2 linked regions of the Canis lupus familiaris genome follow. The protein of the gene in region 2 interacts with the protein of the main gene of each other region in a pairwise test. Links are inferred from orthologs where the notes say so. Each region holds a gene or a part of one and is shown on either strand. Other genes may lie near its edges.

Region 1 (3,231 bases), on a different chromosome or scaffold from region 2:
TATATTACACAATACAGTAAAAACCGTAGTAAATGTTCAGATAGTTAAATGAGCACCAAACACTATAAAGTGTAACCAGCATGGTTCTATTAAAAACTCTCTTCAACTATGGCATTCAAGGACAGCAATACAATATTTTTTTTTTTACAAAGCAACTAATATAAAAATCTGCAAATGCCATAAATTCATTTATAGGCTCTTATTTTCATATAGGCATGTCACTAGATTCTTTCAATTCTTTCTTTCAATTCTTTCCCGAGGTATTTTTTTGTGGTTTGCTTTTATTGTACTGCTGGGTGCATTATCTTTGATCATCCTTTCCTAAAATGATTTTTAAAGACCCGCAAAAAATTTTATTGCATAGGACACTATTCATGACACAGAGGTTGGGTACTGCAAATATGTGGCACTGGAACAAGTCTTACAAATATTGCATTTTAAGAATTTGTTACATACTTTTTTTTTTTTTTTTTTTTTTTACAGCTTGTCTCTTTTAAAAAAATCGAAGTTATAGCTAAGAGTTAACTACAGTGAGGCATTTTAGGAATGTCAGAGGTTAGAGAATACGGTGAATGATACAAAGGAAAAAAGCCATAATTCTTGCTGGCTATAATATTGTATTGCCTTCAGAAGCAACTGTACATGTTGTAATCAGTTCATAGTTAAATATTTCTACTAATCTGTTTTAGGAGAGCAAATGTCTTTCAAAGTTTCGAGTTCCTCTATGAGCTTCTTGTTCTGAACTTCCAGCACTGCAACTCGACTCTCCAGACATTTTACATATTCTTTCTTTCGACGTCGACATTCTTTAGCAGCTTCCCTGAAAAAAAGTAGAAGCAAGAGGGCAAACAAAACATTTTTTTTGCGTGCTATTGACAAGCAGACTGAAGTAAGCTTGGTAAATCTGATCATGGCTGCATTCCAAATCTTGGAACAGCATACCCAATTCAATGTCAAACACTAAGCCACACTGGATTCTCAAGGGTCACAAGTGTCCCTTCCACAAGTCCACATGGCAATTAGTAGAATTGCTGCATCTCCTGCCTTGATTAGAGTTCACAGTAAACAAGGTCCAAGTCAAAGACAGTTACTCTGCTTTATGGCAATAAAGATCTTTGAGGGCTTTGAGTTCCTCAATGAGAGTCTTGTTTTGGTTTTCAAGCACAGCCACACGATTTTCAAGACATTTGACATATTCTTTCTTCTTCCTGCGACACTCCCGGGCAGCTTCCCTGGAACCAATACAAGGCAAATGACTATAGGAACACCCTCTCAGCACAGCCCAGACTGGCTCAAATGAACTTCTGCCCCCCAAACTCAACAGCCAATCAATGCCAGGGAAGGTTTGTACAAAGCCACACAACAAACGTAAGCAAGCACATGCCTTTTGTAAAATTAGTTTAGAACAACAGGAAAGACTTGAGAGCATGATCAATGTGTCCATCCTTCGTTGTAAATGGGTGTTTTCTTAGGGCACACATTCCATGGTAACAGTGACCAGAATGGTTTTTAGTCACCTAAAACAATAGGACCACATCCCCAAGTGGAATTTCTACAAAAACATTTACAGATCCTTTCAATTCTCTTACTTATCTTTGTCCACAAAAGGCCACATATTCCATCACAATGAGTTAACTTTATTTGGTCAAAAATGTTAGAAAAATCAATCCTCAGAAACTTGAAATGTCCATATTGGAGATTTTGTTTCTTCAAGACTGAATCTCAGTAAAACAAATAAACTCAACTACAACTGCAAGGAGCAGCTTATTGGCTAGAAAACAACCTGGATAAAGACAACAGTCAGCAAGTCACACACACATTTTCAAAAACCAAAATGAAATGGACTCTGATTCTGAAAATTAAGGAAAGGAAGAAGGGAGGGTACAGAACACAACACCCGATATTATTTGGATAATTTAAACACATGAAGTGAGAACACCACAATTAAAACTTTGGCAAGGAAGCTACTACATAACTCAACAGTATATTTCAAGACTTTTCCAATCACGTGCATTTACTACCCACTATATGGATCTTTAAAGCACTGTAGATGTGCCCAGAGGAAGGAACAGAGTGGCTGAAGCAACAAACACAAATACACAGATGAGATGAGTCAGTCATTTTACGCATAACCCCACCAAAAAATGATAAATACAGCCAACATTTTTCTCTTTCTCCTTTTTTTTTCAGGATGGGAGGGGGAGCAACTACATCATTTAACTCCTCTATAGAATATACCCTCTGATAACAGTGTTCTTTTGGAGGAGTCAGTTGAAAATAACTGCCTTTGGGGTATGCTTCATATCAAAAAAGCCTACATTGAAAGAGATAAACATATATTAACAAGAGTCATGTTGGACGTCTAAATGCCAGTAACTATAATGCCAGCTTGCACTGCTGCAATTCTGAACCAAGAGTGATGTGCACAACAGACTTGGCCAATTCTGTTTTATTTTTAGGATAGTTGACTAACAACTGGTTATCTGTTTTTTTTCTACATGGGACCAAGTGTCAGCAGAAAAAAAGACCTTGAAATCCCAGTGAACTGCAGGAAAAGATCAACCCCTACTTCCTAGCCAAGAACAATGCACTCGCCCTGTGAACTCACAAAGTTCTCAGACTTCTCAACTAGTTAACAAAAAAATTAAAAGATGTAAAAAGTGAACAGAATCTGATAAATACAGGTTGATTTAATCTAAATTATGCATAGGGAAATGTTGAGAATAAATCCAAGCACGCTCATAAATTTGCCAATCTTCTACAAAGGAACTAAAATACATTTAGTTATTAGCTAAAATACCTAGGTTTTCATGATTGAATACCAAGGTTTTCAAGATTGAATCTTACTAAATTCTAGATCTGGAAGAAAGATAATAATTTTACAAAACAAGTTACTATCAAATGAAATTTTACATATCTGATAGCAGTGCTGTGGGATATTTATCTTTTTATTTTCTATACCAAGGTGTACTATTTATTGTAAATATCATAACTCACATCCCATGTGGGAATGGGCACGTTACCAAAGTTCCAAGCCAAAACTTTAAATGATCACACCAGTAGATGGTACATTCTTAAGTACTTCCCAGCTATGGAAAACACCTGTTTCTTCTATTAATAGCTCAGTTTTCAGGCCTTGCATGTGTCTGGATATATCCTCAGCATGGAGAGGAAACACACGATAGAGAGGAAATGTTGACAAGGCTATAAAGAAACTATAAAGAAATATAA
Region 2 (4,455 bases):
GGCCATGAATGAACTAAGCACCTGCTTTAAAAATTAACCCTTAATCTAAAATCGTCACCTTAGCCATACCTGTCTTTGGATGAGGAGAGTTTAGAGAGACAGTTGAGGTGTATTTCCACCTTAATCTTTTTAAAGATTTGGTGAACCCCCCCCCACTGGCACCAAGGTATGCCTGAAGCTGAGGTTTCTGGCTTCACAGAAAACAGTGGTTCATAATCAGGACCCCAGAGAATAGCTGAGGGCAGATTTCAGGAGTCTATCAACCCCACAAATGTCATTAAAAAATCTATTTGCAATAGGCATTTTTGTTGTTTTGTTTTGTCAGATTCTTAAGGGCATCTGTAGTCTGTGGAGATAGATAAATGCTCAAACTGATCATTTCCAGGGGATCAAAAGGTAGCCAAGAAAAATGATGACAATCAGAGAGGAAAAAGACAATTACAAGAACACGGAAATACATGTTAGTTTAACTGACATCTGACTCAGAACTTCCCATGTGAACCCAAGTATCTGGTTTTCAATTCTAAAGAATCATGTTTCCTAGATTGAAAACATAAAAAACAAATCAAAGTTCTTCCAATGTGTTCTAGAAGAACATTTATTTTCAATATTACAGTAGAAAGTGACGAGGCTCACCTAAGGAACCCAAATTAATCCACCTTTTTTCAAAACGTTGTTGGCAAGTATAATAAAAATGAGAGGTAAACTTGTCAGTGAGGTGATGTGACATTAAAATGCAAATGTGCTGCTCTTAGGTAGGACAGGCTGGGAATTGGCAACTAATGAGAACATGTGGAAATAAATAGAGCAAGTGTGGAAAACAGACATCGGAGTTTACCTTCCCCATCAAACAATTTGGATCGTGGCTGCAGGCATATATCATAACAAATATGTTACGAAATACCTTGTTTGACACATGTTCGCAGTATTTGTGTTAAATATTAATCTATAGCCTTCGCTAATGAAAATGCTAGCATTTATACAGGATGATATTGTGGATGTGAAATGACAGCTAAAATGACTTGAGGATTTTCTTACGTTTTATTTATAAGGATTACACATTTTACTAATGATGTTTTTTTAGTTTCCACATTTTTGAACCTCAAACTGACAGCTGAGGGGTTGCATTCACTTTTCAAATGGCTGACAGACAGTAAAGAGGGCCTGACTAAAAACTGGTGAGGGAGAAAGTGTAAACATGTGGGATGCGTGTTTTTGCTGAAGTAACACTGTTTGCTTCAAGAAGCAATGCTTTTGGGATACCTGGAGTTGAGCATCTGCCTTTGGCTCAGGTCGTGATCCCGGGTCCTGGGATCGAGTCCCCCTCAGGGAGCCTGCTTCTCCCTCTGCCTGTGTCTGCCTCTCTCTCTGTGCCTCTCATGGATAATTAAAAAAAAAAAAAAAAAAAGCAAAGCTTTAGATTCCTATAACACATTATGTATTTGTGTTGGTCAGACACACAGATATTTATTTCACTGCAGTCTTCGAAAACCTCATATTAGGTACGGTCTTTAAGCCTGCATCTGGAAAGTAGGTGGATTTTTCTTGACGATAGCAGGATTCTCACTAACTCACTTAAAAACTGTAAGTGATTTCAAATGTACTCTGGATATATAGACTCAGCCATAAAATAACTGCAGTAATAAAGTTAGTCATTTAAATAAATTAAGCCAAATAAGTCCCCAGAATCCTGCCACCCCCTTTTTATGGCAACAAAGGTATACCCCCATGTATAAAGACCATTTTCATAACATAGGAGGCAACTCTAAAGAGTTATCTGACCACTATGCGGCCTCCGCATACATATTATTGAAATGAGAAATCTGAAAAACTCAGCTTATAAAATTTGACAACTGCTGGCTCAACTGACTTTTGAAAAGTTTCTGAACAACTTTGACATACGCACTTAACTTGCCAAGGAAACATTTTCTCATAAGCAGTCACTAGAAAGTCTATAAGAATGTCTCATACTTAAAAAAAAAAAATTAAAGCTGAAATACCATCTAAAGAAACACAAAGGAAACATTACGGAAAAGAAAACAAAACTTACTTTTTCTTGAGGCTGCTTTTTCCTGTGGTTTAAAGAGTATGGAAGGAGAATATGTGATGATTATTTTTTTTCCTCCAGCACATTTAAATGTCAAGTCCAAAAGGAACAGAATGGACCACCAGAGCTATCTGAGGGTCCCTCCCAATTGCAGCCTTTTCAGCTTTGCAGAAGGAAATAGGAGGGTGAGTGGGTTTCCTCCAAGTCTTGTGATATGCACATAGCTGACTCCTACTGGGCTGAAAAAGCACTCCTTGTCAATTTTTACTTTGAATTGTAACAAATTCTCTGCAGGATATCCTTAAAGGGAAATCCTGCCAAAATTAGTATTTGGAGTATCTGGATAAGCTCCAAAAAGTCTAAAATACAAAGTACATATACAGACAACTCATATACATGCTCAAATTTCCACTACCTAGGCTAAATTAAGGGCATATTTAAATTTTTAAAAAATTTCAAAAAGATGCTGTATTTTCTTTTTCCTTGATTAAAAAATATTTTTTGTTTTGTTTTCTGATAACTCTCTGAACCTATCTTTTAGGTTAGAAATGGTTGCAGTACAGAGTTTTCTGGTTGAACCATCTGGAAAGAGAGGAGGCCCCATGTTCTTACCTGCAGAATTTTTGGTAGCTTGAAAGAGAAGCCCTGGGTTGTGGCCCCTATCACTGCCTTCTTGGGAAGTTTGGGAACTTTGAGCCTTGGATTTGACTAGAATAACTCCAGGTATTTACCTGCTTCCTGAACCTGCATTGTGGACTCACCGTTACCTGCTTCTGCCTATTGCCCTATGAGCTGGCAACAATTGTTACGTCACGGCATGGCTGTGTGACTTCATTTAAGCAGAGACTTGGTCTTATGAAATCTTCAATTAAAAAAATAAAAAGGGGATAGAGATTTCGAGAGTTGGATCTAAAGAAATATTTGAATCTTGAACTAATCCAGAATACGTGGGTCAATTTGATCCATAAAGCAAATGACGTTGGCTCCTGGACTCTACTTGAGGCTGTCTCTTCGTTTTGTAAGATGAGGTGAGAGAAGAAATGTTCTGCCTTAAGTTCGTTTATTCCCAGACAAAAGCTGTTCTTATTCAAAGTGCTAATGGGAGTATATACTAATATTTTATGAGATCGAACTCAGGTATATACAATAGAAAATACCTTGAGTTAGGGAAATGCAAAACCGGTTGACTGTGTGCATTGCTCTTCACCTGAATTTGATGATTAAGATACGAAAAAAAAAAAAAAAACAAAAACTGGTGAGCAGCAACCACAGATTGATGCAGTGAAAAGGACACAAGTATGTTCAACTAGTAATAGATTCTGATCTTCATGATACTATTGCAGGCATTATTTTTATCCTTTCATAGGTGAGGAAGTGGAGTCCTGGAGATATAAAATTGCATATGTTCCCAGCTAATTATGGGGCCATTGCCCTCGTTTACGCCTGTGCTCCCTAAGAGGGTGATCTACATTCACTGATAAAACTTCTAATCCTCCTGTTTCCTCCTCAGACAGTTCCAGAGGTCTTCCACCTGGACCACTTCACCAAAAAGCTTCATGATGAAGTTCATCAAAAGGTCTTAATCGGCACTCTCAAGGGCACTGTCATTAAGCTTACCTGAAATTTCTCATTTCTGGATACGTCTGTTTCTTCTTTGAAATTTGCCCTTGGTTCACTAAGTTGCACTGATTTCCTCCTTGCGCTCACCATCCCGAGCCTCCTCTCCCTTTATTCATCTCACCCTTCCCCAGAGCTTCCTCCACAGTTGAGTGTGCCTCTCTGTGCACTGACCATTGCGTTCCTTAAGGAGACCATTAGTAATGATAGGACTCCCACACCTGTACTCTCAATCGTTATCACTAAGATCCCAGACCTATATCCGGTTGTCTGTTGGCCTTTGTCTTCAGGTCCTCGGGCACCTCAAACTGGAAAGTCCCTAACAAACCACCTTCTTCACCCCACTCCAAACCTGCTGGTCTGCTGGAGTTCCTCTCTCAGGGTATGACAGAGTCATCCAAGCCATCATCTTAGACTGTCCTCACTCATTCTCCACCAACCTCATTCATCCCCATCCCCAACTTCTGCTGGTGCTACTTCGTTAGACCTCCCTCAAATTTGTCATTGTCCCTGCATTCTGGTCCTCATATTTCTCACTTGGATTACTTTATCAGTCCTAAAATGATTGGTATCTGCCTCAGTTTGGTCCCCTTCTATCATTTTGTTACATGACACTGTAAAACAATATTTTAAAATATCAGTTTATCAAATTTATAATTTGATACATGCTTTTTGCAGAAAACCTGTAATAAGAATTGAAAAAATAAAGAAAACTTAAAATGACTTGCAATCTAAGAGACAGTCACAACCCAAATCTTAGCCCAAATCTCTTTAGAGTATTTTGTATGCAC

The links.
Region 1: the proteins of FHL5 (region 2) and CREM interact in a two-hybrid assay, tested with the Homo sapiens proteins (2 studies listed by BioGRID). The link is inferred for Canis lupus familiaris from reciprocal best matches to the Homo sapiens genes FHL5 and CREM.

The regions. Positions count from the first base shown.
Region 1 is NC_049223.1:1,973,272-1,976,502, forward strand, and holds the end of CREM (cAMP-responsive element modulator), read right to left. Parts: intron 1,233-3,231; coding exon 1,088-1,232; 3' UTR 663-1,087; downstream 1-662.
Region 2 is NC_049233.1:55,287,391-55,291,845, reverse strand, and holds the start of FHL5 (four and a half LIM domains protein 5), read right to left. Parts: upstream 2,831-4,455; 5' UTR 2,660-2,830; intron 2,073-2,659; 5' UTR 2,051-2,072; intron 1,289-2,050; exon of another isoform or gene 1,264-1,288; intron 1-1,263. UniProt on the Homo sapiens protein: May be involved in the regulation of spermatogenesis. Stimulates CREM transcriptional activity in a phosphorylation-independent manner.